Callithrix jacchus: one gene and its partner. The protein of the gene in region 2 binds, or shares a complex with, the protein of the main gene of each other region. Links are inferred from orthologs where the notes say so. Each region holds a gene or a part of one and is shown on either strand. Other genes may lie near its edges.

The links.
Region 1: POLR3E (region 2) and POLR3G share a complex: the UniProt entries of both Homo sapiens proteins name them as parts of the RNA polymerase III complex. The link is inferred for Callithrix jacchus from reciprocal best matches to the Homo sapiens genes POLR3E and POLR3G.

The regions. Positions count from the first base shown.
Region 1 is NC_133503.1:120,269,565-120,285,028, forward strand, and holds part of POLR3G (DNA-directed RNA polymerase III subunit RPC7), read right to left. Parts: intron 10,058-15,464; 5' UTR 10,015-10,057; coding exon 9,898-10,014; intron 7,915-9,897; coding exon 7,785-7,914; intron 35-7,784; coding exon 1-34. UniProt on the Homo sapiens protein: DNA-dependent RNA polymerase catalyzes the transcription of DNA into RNA using the four ribonucleoside triphosphates as substrates.
Region 2 is NC_133513.1:22,883,209-22,899,354, reverse strand, and holds the start of POLR3E (DNA-directed RNA polymerase III subunit RPC5), read right to left. Parts: upstream 9,560-16,146; 5' UTR 9,444-9,559; intron 3,118-9,443; 5' UTR 3,080-3,117; coding exon 3,044-3,079; intron 930-3,043; coding exon 879-929; intron 703-878; exon of another isoform or gene 587-702; intron 1-586. UniProt on the Homo sapiens protein: DNA-dependent RNA polymerase catalyzes the transcription of DNA into RNA using the four ribonucleoside triphosphates as substrates.

The DNA of each region.
Region 1 (15,464 bases), on a different chromosome or scaffold from region 2:
ACCTTCATATATCTTTTACTATACCTTTCAATATCTAGGGGGAAAAAAGAATAAAGAGCTCATTAGGAAAATCAAAAGTAACCCTGAACTTATGCCATTCCTTTAAGATAACTGAAAACAAGAGACAACATTTTTTATTTCACATACAGGGAGTTTCCTACATTTGGACATAAGAGAATGGGAAAAAGGGTAGGAGTAGGCAAGGTTGGACTTGGCGAGGGGTTACTGATCTGAGGGATAAATGAGCAAGCTGCAAGTCTTCCATGCCAACTGCTGAAAACTCTGCAGGGACCCTCTGAGTTTGCCAAAACCATTAAAGCCACAATTGTGGCTCTTGGTTCAGACTTGTCCACCTCATCACAAGAACACCCCTCAGGAGGGCACAAACTATTTCCCAGCAGCACAAGTTGGAAAGCAACACTATTACACAAAACCTGAAGCCATGTTCATCATAAAAAGCAGTTCAGCAGTTAGGCATGAAAAAGGGAAGATAATACTAAAGATGAATAGATGTAAAGTCAAGGACCAAATATGTACTGATTTTTCTTCTATGTCAAGAATATGCTTCCAAATAATATAATCATGTATAGAGAAAGATAACTAAAATAAGCATTAGATAAGAGACCAAGAGATCAGGTTTTCTAGATATTTTAACTGCTTGACATCAGGTCAAACGTTTTAACTAATCTCGTCAAGTTTTTCATCTGTAAAATGAAGTCAGCATAAATGAGAGATTCCTAGCATTTGTAACACAATGACTTCGTTTTTTTTAGAAATTTTCCAAAACAGATTCCCTATTTTAAATAATTTTAACCCTCAGTATACCAGAAAAAAAAGTTTACCCTTTTTTCTCTCGGTACAATAGAACATTTTTTTATATTTTAAAGTTAATTTCAAAGAATGAAATACAGAGAATAAAAAAGATAACAGATAAAAGAGTAAAGAAGTATTAAAAAACAATTATTGGAACCCAATTAAAAAAGGGTAAAGAATCTGAATAGACATTTCTCTAAAGAAGATACAAAAATGGACAAAAAGCATGAAAAGATATCCAACATCATTAATCATAACAGAAATTTAAATCAAAACCACTATGAGATACGGTGTTACAACCACTAGGATGGCTAGAATTTTAAAAAAATGTTGTTAAGGATATGGAGAAATTGGAACCCTTATACATTATTGATGGGAATGTAAAATGGTACAGCCACTTTAGAAAACAGTTTGACAGTTCCTCAAAATGTTAAATATAGTTACCATATGATCCTATGTATATCTCCAATAGAAATGCAAACATATGTTCACACAAAACATGTACATGAATGTTCATGACAGCATAATTTATGTTAGCCCAAAAGTGAACTGATCTAAATGCCCATCAAATGATGAGTGGATAAACAAAATGTGGCATATCCATACAGTGGAATATAATTCAGCCAGAAAAAGGAATGAAGCACTCATATGTACTAAGCCATTGATGAACCTTGAAAACATTATGGCAAATGAAAGAAGCCAGTCTAAAAAAGACACATATTACATGATTCCACGTACATGACATGGACAGAACAGATAAATCTCTAGAGACAGAAAGCAGATTGCTGGCGCCATGGGTTGTCAGGAGGGAAGAATAGGGAGTGACTACGAAAGGGTACAGAATTTCTTTTCTGGATGATGAAAAGCTTCTAAAAAATTAGACAGTGGCTGGACGGAGTGGCTCACACCTATAATCCCAGCTCTTTGAGAGGCCAGGGTGGGTAGATTACTTGAGGTCAGGAGTTCAAGAGCAGCCAGGCCAACATGGTGAAACCCCATCTCTACTAAAAATACAAAAAAATTAGCCAGGTGTGGTGTGTTTGTAATTCCAGATACTCGGGAGGCTGAGGCAAGAGAATCACTTGAATCCAGGAGGAGGCTGCAGTAAGCTGAGATCATGCCACTGCACTCCAGCCTGAGTGACAGAGCAAGACCCTGTCTCAAAAAAAAAAAAAAAAAAAATTAAATAGCAGAGTTGATTGCACAATTCTGTGACTATATTAAAAGTCATTGAATTGTACACTATAAAAAGTAGATTTTACATATGTGGATTATGTCTCAGTAAAACCCTTACTTAAAAATCAGTAATGCTGGGAGCGATGGCTCACGCCTGTAATCCCAGCACTTTGGGAGGCCGAGGCAGGTGGACCATGAGGTCAAGAGATCGAGATAATCCTAGCCAACATGGTGAAACCCTGTCTCTACTAAAAATACAAAAATTAGCTGGGCATGGTGGCATGTACCTAGCTATGTACGGAGTCCCAGCTACCTGGGAGGCTGAGGCAGAAGAATTGCTTGAATCCACGAGGCGGAGGTTGCAGTGAGCCAAGATTGCACCACTGTGCTCCAGCTGGGCAACAGAGCAAGACTCAAGCTCAGAAAAAAAAAAAAAAAAAAAAATCAGTAAAACTAGGCCCAACACAGTGGCTCAAGATGTAATCCCAGCACTCTGGGAGGCCGAGGCAGGTGGATCCCTTGAATTCAGGAGTTCGAGACCAGCCTGAACAACATGATGAAACCCCATCTCTACAAAAAATATAAAAATTAGCCGGGCATGGTGGCTCATGCCAGTGGTTCCAGCTACTTGGGAAGATATGGCAGGTGGGAGGATCGCTTGAGCCTGGGAGGTGGAGGCTGCTTACTGCTGAGATTACGCCACTGCATTTCAGCCTGGTTAACAAAATGATATCCTGTCTCAAACGAAAATAAATAAAGCTATTAGAGACTTTACTAAGTAATTAAGCATAGCAAATTCAAATTTATATTCCATGTTTTAGTGGTTTTGAAGGAAAATTTAACCAAAACGGGCAAAGTCATTTGAATGCACTTTTCTGTGCATCAACTGCCACACACAAATCCAGAATATATGCCTTCTGTACATCCTGATCCCCAATTCCAAACACATCTTTAATAGGTTCTAACTTATAATTTCTTTTGGTTCTTTTTCTCATACGTGTATCATCTGCATTTCTAGTAGATTAGTTTATCACTACCTCCAATTCTTCTCGTACTTACATAACCAAAATGCAATACTTTAAAAACTTTGATTTCTCATATTTCATTGAAGATGGTCCAGTGATCTTTACTCTACACTTGCAAAATATTTTCATTAAATTTATAATTACCAATTAATACGATCAGTCCAAAAAATGATTTCATGTCTGTACAATCAACTTCTTTTTCAGCATTTGTCAGTTACAAACATCAAATTAATTTTGGTGCACAAATATCATAAAACAAAACAAAAATGATCACCTCATTTTAGCAAACACGATGATCCAGGTTTTTGTTATAAAGTATTACATGATGAGGTCTTTTTCAAAGATTAACTATACAAGGCCACCATAATTCCTTTTTAATTCTTAGAGATAGTGTTTACTCATTGATTCTTGAATTTGAAAAAATTCATTGAAGACACTAAAGACTCATAGTCTGAGATTTTGCTTATAAAATCAATTTCATCATCATCATTAGCATCCAGAGAGCTATTTATCTCTTTGAATTCATCTTCCGGTTCGTCTAAGAATTGTGGAATGTCTCTTTCTGTCAATTTTGGACATTATGAGCAGAAAATTAAAAATTTTTGAATTTTTCAATTGTATTCAATTAAAACAGAGCAACTACAAATATGAAGGTCTCTGCACACTTTATATCTTCTTAAAAAAAAGATGTAATACTTTGGACAAGCATTAGAAACTTGTCCAAAGGAAAGGAACAGGAAAACTATATAATATAATAGTGATGTTTTATTTCAACTGCACAATTTCATCATTCTCCTATTTTTTGTATTTATTCTTTTCTTCAGCATAGTGGGAAATATCTGATGAATGATGATGAGATAATATCTATGATGATGAAGTAGCAAGGTAGTTCAAGATAGAGAAAAAATAAGATCACTCAGATTCCATAATTATCTTAGATATATAAAAGGGTCCAGGCCGGGCGAGGTGGCTCAAGCCTGTAATCCCAGCACTTTGGGAGGCCGAGGCAGGTGGATCATGAGGTCAAGAGAACGAGACCATCCTGGTCAACATGGTGAAACCCCGTCTCTACTAAAAATATAAAAAATAAGCTGGGCATGGTGGCGCGTGCCTGTAATCCCAGCTACTCAGGAGGCTGAGGCAGGAGAATTGCCTGAACCCAGGAGGCGGAGGTTGCAGTGAGCCGAGATCGCGCCATTGCACTCCTGCCTGGGTAACAAGAGTGAAACTCCGCCTCAAAAAAAAAGGGTCCAAGGGGCTGATAATGGCACGCTAAGATAAAACGAGTTTTCTTTTTTAAGTAAATTTCTGCTTGTTCTTTAGAAAATCTCTATGCAAGAATAAAAGTTATGAGTATCAATCATACAAACAATAGGAACTGCTCCAAAAAAAAAAAAAAAAAAAAAACCTCAAAAATTTATATTGAGTCTCATGGACACTGATGGTATAACAAGAATTAGGAAGCCAAATTCCATTTACTCAGTAACAGACCTGTGGACATATTTAAGTAAATGTATAATTTCCATCTAGCTTTAAGTTCTGAAAATGGCTTATTACACCATTACCACTATCAGAATCATGTTCTTACCTCAAAGGACCCAGTGGTTCAGGACCTGAGCTGGGAACCACTAGACCAGATGATCTCTACATCCTCTTACAGCTACAGTTATTTATTTAACAAAGGAAAAACACCAGTGAACTAAAATAATGTTCACTGGTGTTTTTCCTTTGTTAAATAAATAACAAATTTCAATGCAAAGAAAATACTAATCATTTCTAAAATTCTACCTGAAAACACTAAAAACAAACTTTGAAGACATCACAACATGAAATAAGTTCATTCCATGCCCTAGGTTCTTCAGGACTGATCTCAATGCCCTGAGTCAGCAGTCACTTGACTATCAGGAAGTCTTGAGATCTCCTACCCTATTTGTTTGTCCTGATGTCTAGTTATGTAGTGCTTTACAGTAGTCGGTAAGTCTCTCTTTCCTAAAGCACACAGGTGGCAAGTGATGCACCTGGCAAAACTGCAGTCATGCAACATCTCTATCCAGAATATAGTTCTCTCGGACACTTGGGTAGTTCTGTTGAGTCTGGCCAATTCTGCTTCACTCATAGCATGGTTATTATATACATTTATGCATGCACATATATACATATTTAAACCTATATATGCACTTATAAATGTATGTATTTTATAGAAAAACCTTTATTTTTAACATGAGCTCATTTTTTAAACACACAATATTAAGAAAAAGACTTAGGCTGGGTGTGGTGGCTCATGCCTGTAACTCCACCACTTTGGGAGGCCAAGACAGGAGGATCACTTGAAGCCAGGAATTCGAGAGCAGTATGACCAAAAAGTGAGACCCCCATCTACAAAAAATAAAAAAATAAAAAATTAGCTGGCCATGGTGGTGTGAGTCTGTAGTCCTAGCTACTCAAGAGGCTGAGGTGTGAGGATCACTTGAGCCCAGGAGTTTGGAAGCTGCAGTGAGCTATGATTGTGCCACTGCACTCCAGCCTGAGTGACAAAACGAGACCTCATTTCTAAAATGAAAAATAAAACAATTAAAAAAAGGCAGAAGTAAACATGAAGATCTCAGGGAGAATGTGCTTGTATCAGCTTGGAAATTTCATACAAGAATTTTCTCCTGAAAGAAATAAAAGCAAAAAAACCCTTACATTTTTTAAATACTTTATTGCATAGTTATCAAAGATAAAAGGGCTCCCTTAATCCATGTACGAGCCAACCACTCCCACAGATCAACAACAAAATTATGTTTTTAATATCCCTGTCTAAAAGGCTCATAAATGCTTTAATGATTTGATATACTTTTTTTTTTTTTGAGACAGTCTCCCTTGTAGTCCTGTGATGTGATCTCAGCTCACTGCAACCTCTACCTCTCAGGTTCAAGTGATTCTCCTGCCTCAGCTTCCTGATTAGCTGGGACTACAGCACATGCCACCACGCCTGGCTAATTTTTGCATTTTTAATAAAGGCAGGGCTTCCCCATGTTGGCCAGGCTGGTCTCGAACTTCTGACCTCAGGTGATCTGCCCACCTCGGCCTCCTAGTGTGCTCAGATTATAAGAGTGAGCCACCACACCTGGCCTGATTTGATGTACTTTTAAATTAGACGTGTTTCAATAACGACCACATTCAGTTAAGTAAATCTGTGCCATAGAGAAATGATCAATTTTAAAAGGACTAAAGTGTACCTTGCATTAGTATTTTTTCTTATAAGAGTGAATATTGATTCGTTCATTTGGTCTTTTTAAAATCTTTAAAATGAGAAGTTTTATTTTGGAACTCAAACAGATGAAGGCATACAACATAATCATGAAAGTTAAAAATTTCAGTATTAGGCTGGGTGCAGTGGCTCATATCTGTAATCCCAGCACTCTGGGCGGCTGAAGTGGGCAGACCACTTGAGGTCAGAAGTTCGAGACCCGCCTGGCCAACATGGTGAAATGTTGTCTCTACTAAAAATACAAAAATTAGCTAGGCGTGGTACTTCGCATCTGTAATCCCAGCTACTTGGGAACCTGAGACATGAGAATCAATTGAACCCAGGAGGCGGAGGTTGCAGTGAGCCGAGATTGCACCACTGCACTCCAGCCTGAGCTACAAGAGTGAGACTCCAATTTCAAAAAAAAAAAAAAAAAAAAAATTAAGTATTTTTGAGATAAAATATCTCTTATCGAACCATTATAAAACTTCAAGCAGCTGTGTTTTGAGAATTAAATGAACTTATCTAAAGTGCTTCCTATATTTATAAGCACATGCTAAGATTATTACATAAGGCTTCATTATTTAGACTCAGCCAATTCAAATTATTCTAGAGAGGGGAAAAATGGAATGTACTTTTAATACTAATGGAATTATATGATGCTATGTGAATTTCTCATGTTTTAATGATGGTGTTTCGCGAACTCAATGATGATATCAGTCTCTCTAATTTCAACAATCAAGGGCAGAAAGTAAAAAATCAATATAGTACTGCTGTGCTAAATAGCTACTCAGGAATGGCTTCCTTTCCTGTAAAACCACTTCCCATTTCTAGTCTGAGACTGTCAAGCACTCTCCAAATATAATTTTTCTTTTCTGCCTTAAGTATCACCAATGAATACATATTTTAATTCATAATATATATATTAAAAAATCAAGGCTTAAAAATGTTTTAACCTAAATATTAGATAATCAGAGACATGCATAAAGGTTTGTATAATGATAATAATCACAACATTTTATATATAAGCAAAAAACTGGAAATAATCTTTAAAAAGCAGAAAATTAGTTCAGTTAATAATATTATATCCACAGAGTAGACTACCAGAGTCATTAAAAGTCATATTTCCCACAAATAAGAAGGATATGTAAAAATGCTAATATACTACTGAGTGAAAAAAGGAAGATACAAAGTAATACGAAACCAGTTTTATAAAGAGAATATACATGCAGAAGAAAAAATCTGGAATATAATAAATATTAATAGTGGTTCTCTAGACATAAGCATGGGTAATTTTTACTTTTTAAAATTTTCCTGTTTTTCATAATTTTCATTTAACATATAAAATTACTGTGAATTTCTAAAAATATCAAAAAATTTAAAGTATGTTTTCTGTTAAATCAACATAAATGTGTTTTTTCAAAGTACTTAATTTTTTATTGAGTTGAATCAATCATTAAATGATTCTATATCTTGTGCTTAAACACTGTTTCATCTGCACACATTAAACCATATAATCAAAGACTTCAATATGGTACCTTGTCTTTCTTCAGGTGTTTCAATAAAATAAGACATTCTTTTCATTGTTTCTCTCAACTCCTGTTTCAAAGCCAGCATATATTCTTCACCTTCTCCCATTTTCAGTGGCACGGGTTTATAATCTGTAACCTGTTTAAATTAAGAGATAAAGGTTTTTAAAAAATAAATTATGTATTTTAATATCTTTTATCTGTATTACAGAAAACAGCAGTTTTCTTGAAATAGTATGTTTTACAGGCACTAAGTTTTACAATCAACTTAAAAGATGAACTTCTGTAGTCTATTTAACCTGTTAACCCATTTCCTACTTTGCTCTTATCTTAGAGATAAGAAAGATGCCTATTTTCCTATTGGCCCTGAAACTACACCCAATAACCACTTTGCCATACAGTCTGTTGACCTATGTGATTCTCTATTTTAAAAATTAGAGTACCAAAAAGAAAAAAAGAAAGAAAAAAAAATTAAGGTACCCAAATGAGAGCAGACGCTTTAGATTCTTATTAACCTCAACTAGTGATGGTGTTACTGGGGGAAAAAAAAGCAGCAGTTTTTATTTAGTAAGTGGTTAATGTGACTAGGATGTACTCAATATTCAACACCCATTATTTCATTGAAAGGACTACCAATATTTCTCCGTTTGCAGTGAAGAAATCGAGAAGTGAACAATTTGTAAGCCCATATAATGAATAAATTGCAAAGACAGAGTTTGAAGCTGCATTTCAAGTTTTAAAAATTATACACACATATACATACATGCAAATATGCATTTGTATGTATGTATATATTTACACAAATATATTCATTAACAAGTGGGTCTCTAGTGTACACAGTAAAGACATTTCTAGTCTCAGAGGATAAAGATAGAATGCATTTTCAAAATTTGATTAGGAATGTATTCATTCATGCTATAACTACTTATTGAGTACCTAACATGGTTAGACTTTAGAAGATACCATGATAAGCAAGTCAAAGTCCCTGCCTACAGGGAACTTACATTCTAGGAGAGAAACACACAACAAATTAGTAAACAAATGAGGTGATATACAATTTCACTTAGTGATAAATAACATAAAAATAAATGCAGGTGGGTAAAGGAAGTGACTACTAAGAGCATGGAGGATGGAGGTGGAATCTACACAGGGTACATGGCCGCTAGGGGAAGTCACATTTGAGTAGATTGGGATAAAATCAGGGAGCCATCCATTTGAAGATAAGAGATGGTTCCAGCGGGGAACCAGGAGGGGCAAAGGCCTGAGGGCACAAGGAGACGAGCTTAGCTGGGGAATGAGAAGGACAGTGGTAGGAAAAAAGTCAGAGAGACATCAGAACAGAGAGATCAGGCAGAGCCTTTTATCGAGTAGTAAGGAATTTTAATTTTATTCCAGGTATAAAGAAATACTATGTACTAACGTCCCCACTGTTTAGAAGTAATCTCACACATGAAAAAGAGCTTGTTTTAAAGATCACTGTAAAGTGACATTATGCAAATACCTGAGGTATTTGTCTTTGTTTTTATGTTGTGCTAAATATCAAAAAGGTAAAATATCAAGAGCAAAATGCAGAAATTCCTTGTGTGAGACAGGTAGATCCCTGGATACATTTTAAACTAAATATAAAGTGAAACATAACACGTTATGCAAATTATGCTTCCAGCATACTCGCTAAATTTTAAAACAACACTAAGCAAAAAAAGTTCAGTGGGAAAAAAAGTCAAGTGGTATACTAAAGAGCAAAATTAAATTCTATAGATACAAGACGAGAAGAAAATCATTAAGTGAAGTCATGATAGAGTGGGAACTGAGAACCATTATAAAACCTAATGGCTTTTTAAACTATTATTTTGACATTGGAATAGATCAATAACACCAACAGAAGTTGTAAGAATTGAAAACTAATCTTTATTGGTTCACATATATTCATGGAAAGATGTATACAGTTTTGTTTTCTATATTTTAAGAAAGCAGATCATAGAAATATTTAAATTAAAGGTAAGTGAAACACACTCTTATACTTGAGAATACATAATGATGATATCAAGTCCTATATGGAATTTTAATATTCTCTGAAAAATAAAAAAACACACTATGAGAATTCAACTGTTCATATACTTACAGGAAATAGTGGGGGTGGTTTCAACACTACATCAGGTAACTTTTCACCTTTGCTAAATCCAACAGCTTCAATATTAAAGGTATAAGCAGCACGTCCTCTTCCTTTATTCCCAGCCATCAGAACTAGTTATACCAGATGAGTGGGCAAATTCTGAAAGGCACTATTAATGATTAAGATTTATTGGATCACATATAAAAGGAAATCAACTGTTTAAAGCAAAATATAAAACTGCACCCCTTAATTAGCATAGCTGATTCAAAATACTTTTGGAAAGCAAAACATGTAGAGAAATAAAAACATGTAGAGAACTTCAACTATCTGTTGAAGTTCTCACACTCATCCACCTTTGGACAGGTAAGGTGATGATGGCTTCAACTCCCTAACGTACTACTGCTCCATCCAGTCCAGGCAATTCACCCACCCCTCTGTGGTTTGACAATAGGATCTCAGATGTAATGTATATAAAAAGTGGACACAAGAAAAGACTGGGCTGAAGAAGAGAAGAAATCTTTATTTTTTTCATATCAACTTAAAAACTATCTTTAGTCATATATACTTAAAAACTTTAAATGATGTATCTTAGCATGTGAGTGTTAGGAAGTATCCCTGAGATCTAGTCTAATACCCCCCTTTTAGAAAAGGGAATGGGATGGCCGGGCGTGGTGGCTCATGCCTGTAATCCCAGAACTTTGGGAGGCCGAGGTGGGCGGATCACCTGAGGTTGGGAGTTCAAGATCTGCCTGACCAACAACCAACATGGAGAAACCCCATCTCTACTAAAAATACAAAAAAAATTAGCTGGGTGTGGTGGCACATGCCTGTAATCCAAGCTACTGGGGAGGCTGAGGCAAAAGAATCACTTAAACCCAGGAGGCGGAGGTTGCGGTGAGCTGAGATCGTGCCATTGCACTCCAGCCTGGGCAACAAGAGCAAAACTCTGCCTCAAAAAACAAATAAACAAACAAACAAACAAAAAAACAAAAAAACAAGAAAAGGGAATGGGATCAATCAGACTAGAAAGAGATCTGTCCTAGAAAAAAAAAATCAGAGAAAAACAGCTGAAATCACTAAAGTTATGATAAATCTGTATTCTTCAATTTTGGGGACAGTAGTGATATCACATATGCAAGTTGTATTGAACTTTTGAATCCTCTGATTATACTATGAGAACTGAGCTGGCAATGTATAAACAGGGATCCCCATGCCAGAATTCTTTCAATAGAAGTCTCCATTCAACTACAGAGATGATTATAATGCACATTCTTTACATCTCTTTCCCCGCTGGTAATACTGAGCCTCATTTAACCCTGTGAACACAGGAGAGCAATGATATGTCCTCCAGACCACTTGGAGGAAGTCAGAGGAGTGGCTTTGGTTTTGGCCCCATCAGCTCAGTCTCATTTCTGAATCTACTCACTTGCCCTCCTTTCAAAATTATGCAAGCCACAATACTTCACACAGCTGCTCTACTCTTCACCAGAGTTTCTTGCTTGGTCATTAATGTTACCCATGTTAGTCTGTCACACCAATGGTGAAGGAACACCTCCTAAAACCAACAAAGTGCTACTTCTATCAATTTTACTGTCTACAATTTGAATATATGCAATACTTTGGGCCAAAAAGCTGAAAACTCCCAGCTCACTTTATCACAGGGCTATACTACAAAGCAAGCAGCCCTCAGTTCTCAACCCTGGCTGCCATTAGAATCGCTTGGGTAGCTTAAAAAACTACAGCAATGGTTCTCAAAGAGGGCTGTCTGTAGCAGCATCACTCAGAACTTGGTAGAAATGCAAACTGTGGGCTCCACCACAGACCTAAAGAAAACAGAAATTGTGGATGGGCCCAGCATTGGTGTTTCAACAAGCCTTCCAGGTAATCTTAGGCAGCTAAGTTTTGTGAATCACTGAACTGAACCAATTGATCCAGATCTCTTGGGGTGAGGATTGGGCAAGAGTCAATTTTAGAAGCTTCCCAGGTGATTCTAATACACAGCAAATGTTAAGAGTATTGGGAGAACTGTTTTGGTGGAAGCCTTAGCTACTGAGGAGTAGTTGAGTTAAAATACACATGCAGAATCAAGGACTTCATAGGTGCTGTCTTTGAGGTTTAAAATTACACAAATTAGCTTTAGCAACCTAAAAAAGTTTACCTTAAAGGTGAGATAACTGTAACTGCTATAAATCTAAGTAACACTCAGGATGTGGCAGTTCAAGTTTTAATTCATTTGCAAGGAATAGCATTAACAAGGCATTTCACTTTTAGATAGCCAATTTAATTTTTTAATTTTTAATTTTTTTTTTTTTTTTGAGACAAAGTCTTGCTCCGTCACCCTGGCTGGAGTGCAGTGGCAGGATCTTGACTCCTGCCTCAGCCTTCAAAGAAGCTAGGATTACAGGTGTGCAATGCCATGCCTGGCTTATTTTTATATATTTTTTTAGTAGAAACAGGGTTTCACCATGTTGGCCAGGTTGGTCTCCAACTCCTGACCTCAAGTGATTGCACACCTTGGTCCCAAACTGCTAGGATTATAGGTGTGAGCCACTGCGCCCAGCCAATGACACCCTGCCAATGATGGCCAATTTTAATGTCCTTCTACATTTAAGGCCCAGGAAGCAAATCATATATTTAACATCTTTCTGTAATGAAACACTGTTTCCTGCTTTCTCTGAATTACTCAAGTAGAATGGATGACATTTGATTTGATATAATGGCTATGATACTGAGAACATTTTCAGATATGATTTTGTAACTGCCCAAGGGGTTCACCATGCCTACTGTCTGGACAGAGCTGATTTATCAAGACAGGAAAATTGCAATATAGAAAAATGTAATTCACACAGAGCTGGCTATGCAGGAGACTGGAGTTTTATTATTCCTTAAATCAGTCTCTCCCAAAACTCAGAGATCAGAGATTTTTTTTTTCCTTTTTGAGACGGAGTTTCACTCTTGTCCCCCAGGCCAGAGTGCAATGGTGCAATCTCGGTTCATGTAACCTATGCTTCCTGGGTTCAAGAGATTCTCCTACCTTAGCCTCCCAAGTAGTTGAGAATACAGGCATGCGCCACCACACCCAGCTAATTTTGTATTTGTAGTAAAGATGGGGCTTCTCCATGTTGGTCAGGCTGGTCTCAAATTCCCAACCTCAGGTGATCTGCCTGCCTCGGCCTCCCAAAGTGCTGGGATTACAGGAGTGAGCCAACCTGCCTGAGTCGAGATCAGAGATTTTCTGGAGATCAGAGATTTTAAGGATAAATTGGTGAGTAGGGGGCCAGTGAATCAGAAGTACAGATTGACTGGTTCAGGGATGAAATCATAGGAAGTTTCTTAGTCCCACAAAGGCAGTCTAGTCCCCAGGCAAGGAGGAGGTTTGTTTCGGGAAAATCTGTTATAGTCTTTATTTTAAACTATAAACAAAGTTCCTCCCAAAGTTAGTTCAGCTTATGCCCTGGAATGAACCAGAACAGCTTAAGGGTTAGAAGCAAGATGGAGTCACAGTTAGGTTAGATCTCTTTAAGTGCCATAATTTTCTCAGTTATGATTTTTGCAAAGGTGGTTTCAATCCCTCCCTTCAGGTTTCATAGTTTTACATTATTCGTTTTGTAAATGTATCCTTGCAGGCCTGAAAGTTTTCCTTCATAACTGCCTGAACACTAAAAGTTGATTTGTCACCTTTAACGTTGCCATTTTAAACCACAATTCTATGCCTTTTTAAAAAAAAACTAATACTTACATTCACAAAAGTCGGTGTATAAATACATTTTTCTTTTGAGACAGAGTCTCGCTCTGTCACCCAGGCTGAAGTACAGTGGCACGATCTCGACTCACTGCAACCTCCGCCTCCTGGGATCTGATTCTCCTGCCTCAGTTTTCTGAGTAGCTGAAATTACAGGCACATGCCACCATGCCCAGCTAATTTTTTTGTATTTTTAGTAGAGACAGGATTTCATCATGTTGGCCAGGATGGTCTCAAACATCTGACCTTGTGATCTGCCCGCCTCAGCCTCCCAAAGTGCTGTGATTACAGGCATGAGCCACTGTGCCCAGCCTAAAAAGTCAGTATACTAAATCCCAATATACCCACTACTCAGCTTCAAAATTGTCAGTATACAACTAATCATACTTTATACTTTTTCTACTCCCATGCTTTAGATTATTTTAAACTCTTCAGTATGTATCTTCTCTGGGAGTTAAGGGCTTTAAAAAAATCACAATAACATTGCATCTAAAATTTTAACAATAACTCTATATCATCATCTTATATAGACTTAATACATTTCTTCAGTTATCACATAAATGTTTTTATAGTTAATTTGTTCAAATAAAGATATAAAAAATATACGACATTTAACTTTCTTATAAACTATAATAGTTTTTCCTAGGTCAGTGCTCTGTACAATGCTTTCTAAACTTTAGGTACAAGAGAATTACCTAGGAATCTTGTTAAAATGCAATTTTGAAACAGTTGGCCACAGACATGGCCTGAGAATCTGCATTTTTATCCAAGGTCTCAGGAGACATCAACACTGCTGGTTTGTAAACCATACTTTGAAAGTAGCAAAGCTATACAATTTCCCATATTTTGGATTTGACTGATTTATACCTGAGATGTGGCTTAACATATTCCTCTATTCACTGTGTTTATTTCCAATAAACAGGTAAACTGGAGGCCTAGATTTGGGTTTGATCTTTTTTTTTTTCCAAGAATACTTAAAAGGGATACTCTGTCTTTCCTTCTGCATCACATCAAGATGAACATAAAGTCTCCGTCTTAGTATTGATCAGGTTGGTCATGGGTTCAGGTGTTGGTCTATTTCATTATGTATAAAGTATCCACCAGTTTTCACCTCACGATTTTAGCAGTCATTGATGATCACTACCTAGCATTTTTCCATTATGAGTTGCAAAACTGGAATTCTACCAGGGATCAATTTCCCTTATCTATTATTTAGTTACCTTGAAATGAAGTTCATACAGGAACTGTATTTCTTTTAATAGGCAAGCTTATTCCATCTGTCCACACTAAAAATGCAGGAAAAAATCCAAATGGACTTGTTTCAATTGCTAAGTCACTAACACATATACTGAGCCTAGAGAAAGCAGGTCTCCCAAGTATGAAAACTGCTGAGAACCAGGGGTCACACCCTTCACTCTAAGAAACAATTGCCAAGAGCCCACCAGGCCTACGCAAAACTATTGAGCTGCACTCCAGTCCAGGATTTGCCACTACTTAAAGATTTTTAAAAATTCCAGGTAAAGTTTACCAGACTTTCCTGATCATGAGGATTAACTGGAGGACCTGCTAAACACAGAGTTGCAGCCATTCTTCAAGCCCTCAAACCTACAATACCAGAATCTTTGGAGGTGGGCCCTGGAAAAGTCTGGAAAACTTACCCTAAAAAAAAAAGACCAGTTAGCATTGCTTCATAGAATAGCTCTTGAAAAATAACAAACTCTACTCACTCTAAATTTCCATTTTTATTAAGCAATCTTTGGGTGTATGAATTACTATCATTAGTGAATGTACCACCCTTGCCAGAAAAACTTCCTAGCTTTTGACACATTTAATA
Region 2 (16,146 bases):
GGTGGGAATGGGGAGCACATGGGGACTGACTGCTAATAGGCACGGGCTTCCTTTAAAGGGGGACAAAACTGTCCCAAAACAGACTGTGGCACTGGTTGGACAGACCCAGGAATAGACTAAAATCCATTGTATTATACACTTAAATAGGGAAACTGTATGGTGTGTAAATTCTATGTCAATATATCATGAAATATAATAATCACCACCACAGGGTTACTGTGGGATTAAAGAGGTAACTTAGGTAAATGCTTTAAACAGTTTGCATACGTTTCAATGCTCAATACATGTTAGACACTATGACAAACTGCTAGCCTAGCAGCAAGGGGAGGGGCAGAGGTAGCAACCCGGGGCCCTCACGGCTGGCAGCTGGCAGGACTGAGGACTCACAGACGCTGCCGCGGAGCTGGCCCTCGGAGCCTCCATGGCAACAGTGATCGTCACTGACACTAACTCTCTGCCAGGCGGCATCCTAAACACTTCACTGTGGACTCAGCCCGTCCTCCCGGGGACCCTAGGAGGCAGGCATTATTACCATCACCACTTTGCCAATGAGGAAACTGAGGCACAGAACGATTAAGAAACTTGCCCAAGGGCTCACAGCTAAGGTGTGATGGAGTTGGCTCTCAATCCGGTCTGACCACAGAGCCCCAGCCTTAACCGCTGCCCGCTTCTGCCTCTCCTGTGTTCCTTCAGTTTTCCTGTCTTTGAAATGAGACCAATATTAACCCACCCACAAAAGCAAAGAGAATGACCCCATGACATTCTCCACACCAAGAACCCTATCTGAAGTTTCCCATCGTTTCCTGTCCATGTTCCCGAGTTCACACTGTCCATCCACACCTGCTTTTCCCGTCTTTACCTTCAAGTCCCGTAATTACCTGAAACAGATACAGCTTTTCTGCCAGACTCTTGGCCAAGTACACATCGATCTGGGAACAAGGGAAGAAAACTTAACCGGGAGACTGAAGACAGTGCTGAACTCCCCAGGCTGTGCCCGTGCCTCCAGCTTCAGTTAGGGGTAGTGGCTCAGGGAGGCAGTGTGGGGAAGGAGGAAATAGCTCAGCTCATACTAAAAACAAGAGGATCCAAGTCTGCACCCTGGATACATGCAGGAATCCCTCCCCAAAGCTCCCAGGGGAACCAGGACAAGAGTTCACCTGGCACACCCCACCCAAGTTCACAATCCCCCAGCAAGCACACATCTTTCCCGGGGCTGCATTGATTGGGAACCATCCTAGAGCCTGGTCAAATGCTCTTCTGAGAGGCAGGCAGGCGAGGGCTCACCTATGCCTATGCCTCCTGGCTGGGCCCTCCACCTGCCCATCCTGGATAGGCCTGTCACGCCGTCTCAGCGAGTCTGCAAAACCCTTCATGACTGACAGCTCCACTTCCTTTCTTCCCAGCACTAACCACACCCACCCCGCCATGCAGCAGCTTACCTTCCTGCTTCCTAGCTCTTCCCTTTAAACCACATTGTCTCTTGCCCCTGGGCCTTTGCACATGCTTTTCCCTGCACCTACAGAGCCCTTCACACATGCCTCCCCTGAGCCTTTACTGCTCGCTCCTCCAAGGACTTGGCCGAGGCACGTCTTGGCCAGGAAGCATTCCAGACCCCCTGGCTGCAGAGGATGCGGCCTCTGTCCTCAGGGTCGCTTGGACTCCTCTATCCCATCAGCAACCCCTCATTGCAACTCCTGCTACTGCAGTGTAGATGCAGCTTCAATGCATTTAAATAACTCAAATCTAAAAACTTAGCAAATATCCCCCAAGTAAGGGAGAGCCACCTCTATTCATCTGTCCTTGGACCTTCTCCTAGGGTCCCTGGACCAGGCTCTAGGGAACTTCTCCTTGCCCCTTCCACATATGAAGCTGAAGGCATTTTTGCCTTTTGCCTTCCAAAGGTGTAAGTCCTGGGTTAAAAGGATTCTGAAAGATAAGTTTGGCTACAAACAGCTTTCTCTAAGAAAGGAAACCTGGGCCGGGCATGGTGGCTCACACCTGTAATCCCAACACTTTGGGAGGCCAAGGTGGGTGGATCACTTGAGGTCAGGGGTTCAAAACCAGCCTGGCCAATAAGGTGAAACCCTGTCTCTACTAAAAATACAAAAATTAGCTGGGCATGGTAGTAGGCACCTGTAGTCCCAGCTCCTCGGGAGTCTGGGACAACGGAATTACTTGAACCCAAGAGGCAGAGGTTTCAGTGAGCCAAGATCGTGCCACTGCACTCCAGCCTAGGCTACAGAGTGAGACTCCATCTCAAAAAAAAAAAATAATAATTAGTTGGGCGTGGTGGCAGGTGTCTGTGATCCCAGCTACTAGTGAGTTGGAGGCAGGAGAATTTCTTGAATCCAGGAGGTGGAGATTGCAGTGAGCCAGGATGGCACCACCGAACTCCAGCCTGAGCAGCGGAGCAAGACTCTCTCTCTCAAAAAAAAAAAAAAAAAGGGAGGGGAGGGAATCTGCCTCCCACAGCCTGCAACCAGGGCGGCTGGAGAGTCCTTCCTCGTGCCCGTGGTCCATTAGCTTCCTGGGGAAGGGGACCCTGCCCTGCTCACAGCCCCCAGCACTTGGTCCAATGAACAGCTGCTGAATGACTGAATCTGCGTAAGCCTGGGAAGGAAGGACTGCTGAGCCTATCCACTCATTCACCAAACAGTCACCAGGTACCTGAGTGCCAGGCACTGCACTTGACTGTGCGGCCCAGCAGAGAACAGGAAGAAAAGCTATGAAATATTATCTTGGCGATGACAGGGGCTAGGCCAAGTGTCAGTTACAGCCAAGGTAAGGGCAGAGAGAGGTGCAGGAGGGGAGCCCTGTGTGGAAGGGCAGTCAGGGAAGGCCTCTCTGATGAGGTGACGCTGGATCAGAGACCTGAAGGCAGGGAGAGGTCAGCCATGCAGGGGTCTGGGAGACAGCAGAGGGAACATCAAGGGTTAGGTATCCCAGAACACCAACAGGTCCCAGACTGGCCTGAGTACGCATGGAAGGGACCCAGTTCCACTGCCTGCAGCACCAGCAGCAGGGGACAGAGGGCAGTGGTTACCTCCTGTATGACTGGGTCATCCTCTTCATTGGCCATACTAAGGGAGAGCCAGCCGTGCAGTCTTTGAGCTCGATCTGCAAAGGAGGGCGAGAGACTGAGACCATCAGTCGTTCAACCAACATTTCCCCGTGCCTATTCTGCACTGGGAGGGGAAGTGCACAACAAACGAACCGACTTTTCTACATCTACCGTGAAGTCACCAGTGGACAGCCAACCCTATACCCTATCAGCCAGAAGAAATAAAAAAAAAAAAGAAAAATCCAAGCAGCAGGTAAAAGCGGGCAGAACAAGCCAATACGTGTGGGGTGCACCTGTGGGGAAAAGCAAATGACTTGGTTTTGTTTTGTTTTGTTTTGAGACCAAGTCTTGCTCTGTTACCAGGCTGGAGTGCAGTGGCATGATCTCAGCTCATTGCAGTCTCCACCTCTCGGGTTCGAGCAATTCTCCTGCCTCAGCCTCCCAAGTAGCTGGGATTGCAGACATGCTCCACCACACCCTGAATTTTGTCTTTTTATTTACTTATTTTTATTATTTTTTATATATTTTTTATTATTTTTATTTTAACTCTTTCTTTTAAGACAGGGTTTCACCATGTTGGTCAGGTTGGTCTTGAACTCCCAACCTTGGGTGATCCGCCCGCTTTGGCCTCCAAAGTGCTTGGATTACAGGCATGAGCCACCATGCCGGGCCAATTTTTGTATTTTTAGTAGAGATGGGTTTTACCATGTTGGCCAGGATGGTATCAATCTCCTGACCTCATGATCTGCCCACCTTGGCCTCCCAAAGAGCTGGGATTACAGGTGTGAGCCACTGAGCCAGGCTGCAAATGACTGGCTTTAAGGGTTCCTTCTCTACTCACAGAGAATTCACTGCCAGACAGAAGGATGGAGGCTGGCTGGTCCCAGCCATGATTAAAACACTGGAGAACTGGGAGCCCTGGGGAAGCTTTAAAGAGGAGCCAGATGTCAATCAGGAAGACAGACAGTCCAAAGCTGTCTCTGATATTTGATTTTCAAGCTGACTTTAATTCGAATCTGAGATGACACTTCTGTGTTTTTGGTCTATAAATGACCTCTTCACACACTCTTCTCTCCTGTATTCAACACAATGACCCTGTGAGGTATGGTGATTGTCACTGTTGTATAATGAATGGACTAGAACTCAGATACACTCTGCACATTTTTACCCGAAGTCACACAGCAAGCAGGATGATGAACTGGACTTCAAATCCAGGCTGTCTGACCTCAGGTGACAGGTACAGATAGGGGAGTTCAGAGGCAGGGCCTTCCTGCTGGGAAGGTGGCACATGGGGTACGCCTGGAAGGAGATAGGGCTTTGGACAAGCATGACAGCAGAGGGGAGGAGGAATTCCAGGTGACAGAAAGTGCCTGCAAGAGCAGGTCTCCAGGGGGCAGGTTGAGTATTTCAGCTGGTCAGCACCTTTACATACCCAAAGAGAAGAGTGGTAGTCATAGGTAGGATGGTACTCAGGCACCCACAGGCCTCAGCAGTTCCCAAACCTCTGCTCTCGGTTGAGATTATTTATTTTTTTTTTTGAGATGGAGTGTTGCTGTCGCCCAGGCTGGAGTACAATGGCGCTACAGTTCACTGCAACCTCTGCCTCCCGAGTTCAAGTGATTCTCCTGCCTCAGCCTCCCAAGTAGCTAGGATTACCAATGTGCACTACCTCACCTGGGTAATTTTTGTATTTTTAGTAGAGATTTTGCCATGTTGGTCAGGCTAGTCTTGAATTCCTGGCCTCAGGTAATCTACCCACCTTGGTTTCCCCAAGTGCTGGGATTACAGGTGTGAGCCACCATGCCCAGCCAAGACCAGCATGACTTCTGTCTGATCCACTTACCACTTGAACTAATATGTATTTATTTATTTATTTAAGACATGTCATGCTCTGTCGCCCAGGCTGGAGTGCAGTGGCCTGAATTTTGACTCACTGCAATCTCCACTTCCTAGGTTCAAGTGATTTTCATGCCTCAGCCTCCAAAGTAGCTGGGAGTATAGGCATGCACCGCCCTGCACAGCTAATTTTTGTATTTTAAGTAGAGACAGAGCTTTGCCATATTGGCCAGGCTTGTCTTGAACTCCTGGCCTCAAGTGATTCACTGGCCTTGGCCTCCCAATGTGCTGGGATTACAGGTGTGAGCCACTGTGCCTGGCCAAAAGCCAAAGTCTTTATTATCCCGTGTAAGCCCTAAACAATCTCCTGCCCCTTGACCTGACAGACCTCATCTCCCACGAGTCTCCTACCCTCCTCTCCAAACCTACCTCTAGGCCTTTATAGCTGCTCTATCCCATAATAACCTCCTGGCCGCTCCTTCACCTCTTTCAGGTTTTTGCTCAAATGTCACCTTATGGCTAAGACCTTCCCTCTCCAATTCAAATTGCAAACTGCCTCCTCCACCCCTTAACTCCCTTCTGTGCTCTCTAGCAGATGTCTATCACCGTGTGACAGTTTACAGCTCTGCATCTGTGCCCACCCGTATTGCCAGTAAGCTGTAAGCTATGTGAAGGCAGAGATTTTGGTCTGTTTTGTCCCTTGTGGTACCCCAAGTGCCTAGTACACAGTAGGCACTCAATACATGTTTGTTGTCTAAATAAATAAAGCATGGGAATGCTATTTAATAGGAAGCTACAGAAGGATTTCAGGCAGAGGAAGATCTGGAGGGGGTAGAAAAAGAAACTTAGGAGAAACAGGCTATCCAAACAGTCCCAGAGATGGAGGATGGAATGAAAATCAGAAGTTGCATCTTGTCAGTTTCAAGTGCCTGCTGCTGTGCAGACAGAGGGCAGTGTGGAGGGAGAGCCCAAGGCCCTACCCTTCTGCATCGGCTGCCGAGTGCCAGACATGTCAAGCTCCTGCCTTCTCTGCAGCTGGGCAGTGGACAACCGAGAGGCTAGAGTGCCAGGTGAGCAAGGGGACGATCATAACCACTAAGAGGGTGTGGCCTGGGAGGTTCCCGAGACCCAACAGTTCTTTCTCAGCAACTGTTATGCCCCGTTGGCCTCTGCCCTGCCAGGGATCAGGAAGGATGAGGTGCCCTGTCTGCTGGAAAGCTGGAGCTCCTCCCTCTGGAAAGTGCATCTGAGCTGATGCAAAGAGTGTCACCTCCCTTCATCCTCCAGGCTGAGGTGATCCAACTCAGTGGCTTTCAAAGTTTTCAGCCTAAGACCCACCACAGTAAGAAATTCATCTTAGCCAGGCGCAGTGGCTCAAGCCTGTAATCCCAGAACTTTGGGAGGCTGAGGTGGGTGGATCTCGAGGTCAGGAGTTCGAGACAAGCCTGATCAACATGGTGAAACCCCATCTCTACTAAAAATAAAAAATTAGCTGGGCGTGGTAATCCCAGCTACTCAGGAACATGAGGCAGGAGAATCGCTTGAACCTGGGAGGCAGAGATTGCAGTAAGCTGAGATCCTGCCACTCCACTCCAGCATGGGTGACAGAGCAAGACTGTGTCTCAAAAAAAAAGAAAGAAAAAGAAATTCATCTCATATAAATGGTCCAGTACATACAATTGCATAACTGAAACAAGTTTTCACATAACCATAACTGTCCCTACTATATGTCAGACAGTGATGTTTTCTACTTCATTCAAAACAAAAAAAATGCTAGCTTCAATTCCCCTAAATTGATTTTATTTCCCACTAATAAATCTCAATCTGCAATGTGAAAAGCACTCATCCGAGGCTCCCTACGGCTCCTTATTCCTACTTCCGTCTCCCGGCAACAGCCAGAGTCCTCGTAAAGAAGTTAATCAGGCTGGCGTGGTGGCTCATACTGGTAATCCCAACACTTTAGAAGGCTTAGGTGGAAGGACCACTTGAGACCAGCAGTTCAAGACCAGCCTGAGCAACATAGTGAGACCCTGATCTCTATTACACACACACACACACACACACAGACAAAATAGCCCAGCATGGCCTATAGTCCCAACTTCTTGGGCTGAGGCAGCAGGCTTGCTTGAACCCAGGAGTTTGAGGCTGCAGTAAGCTATGATCACAAGACCTTCCCTCTATTGGGTGAAAAAAAAAAAAAAAAAAAAAGAGCCAGGTGCGGTGGCTGACTGTAATCTCAGCACTTTGGGAGTCCAAGGCAGGCAGATCTCCTGAGGTCAGGAGTTCAAGACCAGCCTGACCAGTAAGGTGAAACCCTGTGTCTACTAAAAATACAGAAATTAGCCAGGTGTGGTGGCTCACACCAGTAATCCCAGCTACTCGGGAGGTTGAGGCAGGAGAATTGCTTGAACCAGGAGGCGGAGGCTGCAATGAGCCAAGATCTTGCCACTGCACTCCAGCCTGGGCAAGAGAGAGCAAGACTTTGTCTTTAAAAAAAAAAAAAAATATATATATATATATATATATATATATATATATATATATGAGGCTGAGCAGAAGAATTACTTGAACCTGGGAGGTGGAGGGAGCTGATATCATGCCACTGCACTCTAGCCTGGTGCTTGGCGACAGAGCGAGACTCTGTCTCAAAAAAAAAAAAAAAAAACAATTTATATATATCTCGTATTATTTCCCTGCTTAAAACCTGTCAACCATCATTGTCATATAAATAAAACCCAAACTCCTTTCCATAAGCCACTCTAAGGCCCTGCATGATTTTGTCTCGATCTTCCCCTCACCATCTTTTTGGCCTGGTAGCCAGTTGCAGGGCTTCCAAGAAGCCAAGTCCCAGTTCACCCCAAGGTCCTCTGCACATCATCTATTCCCCACAGGGCTTTCCAAGGTTGCTCCTTTTTATTAAATAGCATCATCACCGTCTGCAGCTGAGGATAGGCTCCCTGACTCCTCTATTTTAAGAGCCTTCTCCAACCTCCTCCTAGGCACTACACCACATCTCTGTTTGCTTTCCTCAGTGGTTCTCATCTTAATCTGAAACTACCTGGTCTATTTGCTCAGGTGTTGTCTGTCTTCTGCAACAGAATGTAAGCTCCATGAAGGCTTCTCAGCGCGTCAGTTTCCTCTACTAAATGCAGAGATAATTATACTTTATTTCATCAAAGCTGTTATGGAGATCATTACTTAAAAAATCCACTGCTGTTCTCTCAATATCTAGAACACTGCCTGGCACAAAGTTGACACTCAATATAGTACAAAGAATACTTTATATTTAATCTTCTCATTGGCACTATCAACAGAGATTTATCATCAATTTAGAAATGAGGAGACAGGTTCAGAGATGAGTACGTTTTCCAAGGTGGAATCAAGACAGTAACTCGGGTCTCGCTGATGTCAAAGATCCTTATTCTTATTAACCATTACACTGCACAGCTCTTCAATAAAAGGCAGTATGGTTAAGTGGGTAAGAGCCTGGACTCGAGACCAAAACTGTGCAGGTTCAAATCCCACCACTGCTGCTTCATATCTGTGGCCCACCTGAGTTGTCTACGCTTGGTATCCCTCCCTATTTTCATCCCTGAAGTAGGGAAACTAAATACCGACCTCCAGACGGCTGGGGAAGGGAGGAACAGGGGAGTAAGGACCCAACCTATGGGAAGGTTTGTTACTACTTGACAACATGTTTTCTTCCAATATAAGAGGGTAATGACACTAAGCAACAAGTCAAGCGCTGCAAGCAAGAGCGTCACCTGCTTTCTACTGAGCCGTCACCACAACCCCATGAGATAGGAATTTCTATTATTCCCATTTCACAGATGAGCAAACTGTGGCGATCGATACGATCTCTTCTTTCTGTCCCCAAGCTCAAGGAATTCTAAAGGTAACCCAAAGGAATGACCTTGTTTGTTTACTGACACCTCCTCGGACCGACCGGTCAGGGCCGTATCCTAAGCACAGAGTTGGTTCAGTAAACACTGAATGGTTGCCTGAATAAATGAATGAGGAATCTCGGGCCTCTCCGGGCAGAGGATGATCCGGTTCAGCTGCAAAGAGGGGAGCTCCGGCAAGCGCAGGTGCCGTCCCTGCCCATCCCGGCTGGCCGCCGACCCCGAGCCACGCCGTCCAATGGGTTTCTGCTCCCTCACGGGTGGTCAGGCCCCCTTCTCACGCCCACCACGAAGTTCCTGCCGCGAGCAGCTACCACACCCGACGCCAGACAGGTGTTCCTTCCATAGGAGGCCGCTCCGGCCCGGGTGGGGCAGATCGGCTGGACCCTGAGTCACCGCCGGCAGCATCGGCCGCGGCCTCCCCAACACCCAAGTGTAGGGCCAGGGAGGTCGGTGTCCGGGGTTGGCCTGGTCGACCTAGAGCCGGCTGTCCGTCCTCCCCACCCGCGTCCCAAGAGGCCCCCAGTCCCTACGCACAGCGCGGCGCGGGCCTCCTTGGCCTACTCGGGAATCTAGCCCAGGCCCACATACTGAGTGCTGTCCGGCTCAAGCCCCAGCTAGGGCGCTGCCAAGTCGGGACTCACCTCTCCGCGGGGGCCGCGCGGACGGCGGCAAGAGCCCAGGAACCCGCGGGCTGCAGAGGCGGCGGCGGCCCGGCTCTCCTCTCAGGCAGCGGCCATGTTGCTGGTGGAGAAACTCTGGCGGACACGTGGGGGGAGCAGGCCGGCCCCAGCGCTTCCTCTTACCCACAATGCCCCGCCCCGGGGCACGGAGCTCCGCCCCTCCGCCGCGCCATTTATGGAGGCCATGCCCCGCCCTGCAGCAGGGGGCGCTGATGGCGTGCTCAAAACGGAGATGGCAGTGTGTGCAGCGGAGACAAAAACAATCCACCTTGGCAGCGGTGGGATTCGAACCCACGCCCCCGAAGAGACTGGAGCCTTAATCCAGCGCCTTAGACCGCTCGGCCACGCTACCTAGCTGCGAATTATTTCTTCTAGAGAGTTACTTAATGCGTTTTCTAGAATTTATTCTCGAAATTGAAAGGCATTTTCGCTGAGGTTTTTGTTTTTTTTTTTTTTACTTAACATGTGTTCTGATTCCTATAGAATTATTTTCAAAAGTCATGTATTCGAAAATAAGTACTTACTCCAATCTTTAGACCCAGGTTTGTTCCAAATAGGTTTTACAGCAAAAAGCATTTTTAGAAACTCTATTATATTCTGAGTTGGATGGTTAACCGGGGACCTGGTTAACCCACAAATAATCCACACGACCCTGATTGGGTGTCTCCGGGAGAAGAAATTGATTCGATCAGAAACACGCATCAGAGGATCTACGGCCAAACCCGGGAGCTGGTCTGGGCAGTTATCTCTGAAAAATTATGTTTAAATTTTTACTTACACAACACGCGAATTAATGCAAAATATTTAAACTTTGCAGATGAGGTACAAATCATGTGTTGGAAATTCAGTCCCCAATGTGGCAGTACTGTATGGTGGGCCCTTTAAGGGGCGATTAGATGACGAGGGTGGAGCCTTCATGAATGGATTAATCTATTCATGGATTCATGTATTAACGGGTTAATGGATTAATGGGTTATCTTGGGAGGGGGACTAATGGCTTTATAAGTAGACACCTGAGCTAGCAAGTGAGCAGCTCAGCCCCCTTTCCATATGATGCCTTGTACTGCCTGGTGACTCTGCAGGGGTACCCCACCAGCAAGCAGGCTCTCACCAGCTACATCCTGTTGACCTTGGACTTATCAGCCTCCATAATTGTAAGAAATAACTTCCTTTTATTTACAAATTACCCAGTTTCAGGTATCCTGTTATAAGCAACAGAAAATGGACTAAAACACTATATATATATTTCTAGATCTTTTGCTGTGAATTTATACGGATATATAGAGATATCATAGAATATAGCTTTGTTTTTATTGTGTATGGATTTTAACAAAAATATTGTCACATTATTCGTACAGATCTGCAAGTGGCTGGTCTTTTTTTTTCCACAAGACTGTATTTAAAAATACCTATCCATGGCTGGACGTGGTGGCTCAAGCCTGTAGTCCCAACAGTTTGGGAGGCCAACACGGGTGGATCACCTGAGGTCAGGAGTTAAGCCTGGCCAACAGGGAGAAAGACCATCTCTACTGAAAATACAAAATTAGCCAGGCGTGGTGGCACATGCCTGTAATACAAACTACTCCAGAGGCCGAGGCAGGAGAATCCGCCGAGCCGGGGGGCAGGGGTTGCCGTGAGCCGAGATCGCGCCATTGCCCTCCAGCCTGGGCGACAAGAGCGAAACTCTGTCTCAAAAAATAAAACAAAAACCTATCTATGTGCATATACACAGATATTAAAAACAAAAATGCAGCCAGGTGTGGTGGCTCATGCCTGTAAGCTCAGCACTTTGGGAAACTGAGGCGGGCAGATCATGAGGTCCAGGGTTTGAGACCAGCCTGGTCAACAGCAAAACTGTCTCTACTAAAAATACAAAAAAAAAAAGAAAAAAAAAGAAAAATCACTCATAGTGCCACCACCTGGCATTAAATTAATGACTTAGTATTGTGGCAATTTTTTTCTTTTCTTTTTTTTAGACAGAGTCTTGCTCTTGTTGTCCAGGCTGGAGTACAGTGGTGTGATCTCCGCTCACTGCAACCTCCTTCTTGAGGGTTCAAGCGATTCTTCTGCCTCAGTCTCCCGCGTAGCTAGCTGGGATTACAGGTACACACCATCACATCCCGCTAATTTTTGTATTTTTAGTAGAGATAGTATTTCAACATGTTGGCCAGGCTGGTCTCGAACTCCTGAACTCAGGTGATTCCCTCCCCCCCAACCCCAACACCCTCCACCTTGGCCTCCCAAAGTGCTGTGATTACAGGTATAAGCTACCGCACCTGGCCTCATGGCACTTTTGCTTCCAATTCTTTTATTATGTATATACTTTTCATTAAAAGTTACAAAGATGTTATGAATATGTTGTCCTTTAAAAAATTCATTCAACTGGGTGTGGTGCCTCATGCCTGTAATCCCAGAACTTGGTGAGGCTGCGGTGGCAGTACCACTGGAGGCAAGAGTTTGAGACCAGCCTGAGAAAAATAGCAAGACCACATCTCTTATTCTATTATTATTTTTTTTTTTGAGACAGACCTTTCACTCTTGTTGCCCAGGCTGGAGTGCAGTGGCACAATCTCGGCTGTCTGCAACCTCTGCCTCCTGGGTTCAAGTGATTCTCCTACCTCAGCCTCCCAAGTAGCTGGAATTACCATGGTGCTGGCCACCATGCCCAGTTATTTTTTGTATTTTTTAGTAGAAACATGGTTTCCCCATATCAGCCAGGCTAGTCTTGAACTCCTGACCTCAGGTGATCCACCCACCTCGGCCTTCCAGAGTGCTGGGATTACAGGCATGAGCCACTGCACCCAGCCATAATATTTTAAAATTTTATTAAAAATAGGGCACGTCTCGGTGGCTAGCGGTTGCGACGGTTCACGTGTGTATTCCCAGCACTTGGGGAGGCCAAGACGGGAGGATCAGCTGAGACCAGGAGTTCGAGACCAGTCTGGCCAACGTGATGAAACCCCATCTCTACAAAATATATAAAAATTAGCTGGTCATGGTAGTACATGCCTGTAATTCCAGCTACTCAGGAGGCTGAGGCACAAGAACTGCTTGAATCTGAGAAGTGGAAGTTGCAGTGAGCTGAGATGACACCACTGCATGCCTACCTGGCACCAGAGTGAGACTCTACCTCAAAAATAATAAAAATTTCAAAATAGGCCCGGCATGGTGGCTCACTTCCGTAATCCCAGTACCTTGGGAGACCAAGACAAGCTGATCACCTGAGGTCAGGAGTTTGAGACCAGCTGGACCAAAATGGAGAAACCCCGTCTCTACTAAAAATACAAAACATTAGCCAGGTGTAGTGACACTTGCCTATAATCCCTGCTACTCAGGAGGCTGAGGCAGGAGAATAGCTTGAACCCAGGAGGCGGAGGTTGCGGAAAGCCAAGGTCGTGCCATCAAATCGCACGCCAGCCTGGGCAACAAGAGCAAAACTCCGTCTCAAAAAAAAAAAAAAAAAAAAAAAAAGAAATCTCAAATCTTCTATCATTTTTGTTTCTCTCTGTCATTTACATGGGTTACTTTTCCCATTAGTTCTGTTCAACACAAGGAGTTGAGTCAATGCTTACGGTGACTGAATGGGGGAATTAGGCAGGAACTCCACTGACTCCGGTGATGCTTTAGACACATAAAAAACTGTATAAATCGCCGGGCACGGTGGCTCACACCTGTAATCCCAGCACTTTGGGAGGCCGAGGCGAGTGGATCACGAGGTCAAGAGATCGAGACCATCCTGGTCAACATGGTGAAACCCCGTCTCTACTAAAAATACAAAAAATTAGCTGGGCATGGTGGCACGTGCCTGTAATCCCAGCTACTCAGGAGGCTGAGGCAGGAGAATTGCCTGAACCCAGGAGGCGGAGGTTGTGGTGAGCCGAGATCGTGCCGTTGCACTCCAGCCTGGGTAACAAGAGCGAAACTCTGTCTCAAAAAAACAAAAACAAAACAAAAAAAAAACTGTATAAATCACACTTTTGTAAGTAGAATTCTTGTTTTGCATTGGCTCATATTAGACCTTTCAGGGCCATGATTCGAGTTTCTGGCTAATACTAGTTGGTACACGCCCCTAACATTTGAGCATTCTGTATCTTTCTTCTTCAGTCCCTCCTCAGCCTGGCTTTTTCCTCCCCTCCATCCACTTTTTTTTTTTAAGAGACAGGGTCTTGCTCTGTTGCCCAGGCTGGAGTGCAGTGGTATGATCACAGCTCACTGAAGTCTTAACATCCTGAGCTCAAGTGAGCTTCCCATCTCAGTCTCCCAAGTAGCTGGGATTAGAGGCATGCACCACCACACTGGGCTAACTTCTGTATTTTTTGTAGAGACAGGGTCTTGCTATGCTGCCTAGACTGTTCTCAAGCTAACCTCCTGCCTCAGCCTCCCAAAGTGCTAGAATTACAGGAGTGAGCTGCCACACCTGGCCGTCCATCTCCCTTTAACATATATAATGATATGCAAAGATTTTCTTGTACTAGGAGAGTTGGTTGCTTTTCAAGACATTTTTTTTGTTTAAATACAGAAGCAGCCATGGATGAAGGAGACAGGCTAGGCATTGTGGGGAATTCAAAGCTGAATGTGGAATAACCCATTGAAGTCAACAGAGTGTTCATCATGGTATTTTAGTACCAGGAAGGACTTTTTGTGAGTTTGGTACTGGATTTTCCAAAAGGAAATAACCTCATAGTCAGGGATAATCGCTGGCATCTCTGCCCAGTCTGATCTTTCTTTTTTTTTTTTTTTTTTGATGGAGTCTTGCTCTGTTGCCCAGGCTGGAGTGCAGTGGCACATCTCGGCTCACTGTAACCTCTGCATCTCAGGTTCAAGCAATTCTCCTGCCTCAGCCTCCTGAGTAGCTGGGATTGCAGGCACACATCACCACACCTAGCTGATTTTTGTATTTTTAGTAGAGACAGGGTTTCACTGTGTTGGTCAGGCAGGTCTCAAACTCCTGACCTCATGATCCACTCACCTTAGCCTCCCAAAGTACTGGGATTACAGGTGTGAGCTACTGTGCCCGGTCTCTGGGTCTGATTTTTCTAGGAACTACCTGATCAGCCAGAGAGTGGGTCCCTAAAAGCCACCTTTATGCTGCACACCCCACCCCTCCAGCCATGGCTAGTGGACAGAGGATTCAAGTTGGACCAATCAGATTCTCTCTTGAGAATCAATTAGTTACTGATTTTTTTTTTTTTTTTGGACAGTCTCTATCTATGCCTAGGCTGGAATGCAGTGATGAGATCTTGCTCACTGCAACCTCTGCCTCTCGAGTTCAAGCAATTCTCCTGCCTCAGCCTCCCACATAGCTGGGATTACAGATGCACACTACCACGCCCGGCTAATTTTTTTGTATTTTTACTAGCGACGAGGTTTCAGCATGTTGGCTTGGCTGGTTTCAAACTCCTGACCTCAAGTGATCCACCTGCCTTGGTTTCCCAAAGTGCTAGGATTACTGGCGTGAGCCACCACACCCGGTTTTGATTTGTTAATTTGACTGTGTTGTACTGGAATTAGTCCCTGAGATTGGCTAGAACTAGGAAGGGGGGTTTGGCGTGGCTATATTCTGTGAGGTGAGTTGGAGAGGCAGACAAAAGCCAGTGCATAGAAAACCAGGGAATGAGAGAGTGAGAGGAGCAGAGTCAAGGAAATCCTGATGGTTTTCTGGCTTCCAGCTCCAGACGCTTTCCAAGGCCCAGCGGGATGTCCTCTCTTGGAGGCATCTCTGTATCATTGTAATTCCCTTTCTCTGCTAAAGCCAGTGCTACTTGGTAGCTGTGAGCTGTAAACAAGAATCCCCTCCCCTTTGCATGGCAAAGGCTCAAATGAAGCTGTGTGTATGTGTATTATTATTATTTTTGAGAAAAGTTCTTGCTCTGTTGCCCAGGCTGGAGTGCAGTGGCACAATCATTGCTCATTGCAGCCTCAAATTCCTGTGCTAAAGTCATCCTCCCGTCTTAGCCTCTGTAGTAGCTGAGACTGCAGGAGTGTGACACCATGCCTGGCTGCTTAAAAACGTTTCCTTTTCATGGAGACAGGGGTCTCGCCATGTTGCTGGGGCTGGTCTTGAACTCCTAAGAGATATTTCTGCTAGAACATTCTGGAACAATTCAAGTCTCTTCCTACAAATACATACTGAGCAGGATGCTTAACAGGGAAACAGCTGATCCTGGAAGGCACAGCACCCTTTGAGAGTTTCTTAGAGTCCAGCAGCCCCTTACACAGTTTTCTTGTGACAATCAGACACGAAATCCATGAGCAAGAGATGCAGAATGTTGCATCAGAACCCCCGGCCCTACAGGGTCTGAGCAGCGGGATGCAGGGCAAAGGAGGGCTGGGCTGAAACTCCGACTAGTCTTTGTGTGCCTGTCTCTATATCGTAAACACCAGGCTGTGGACAGCGGAAATGGTGTGGGTTTCAGTTCTGGATCCCCTCCATTCTTTCGTCCCTTACCCTTCTAAAAGGAAAATGCTCCCAAACCTAGCCTGTGACCAGACCTTTCTGTAATAACCTCCTTCTGGAAAGAAATTAGCATTCCTGATAAATGTTCGAGCAGTGAGCTTTTTTTTTTTTTTTGGACTAAGTCTTGCTCTGTTGCCCAGGCTGGAGTGCAGTGACACAGTCTCGGCTCACTGCAACCACTGCCTCCTAGGTTCAAGCGATTCTGCT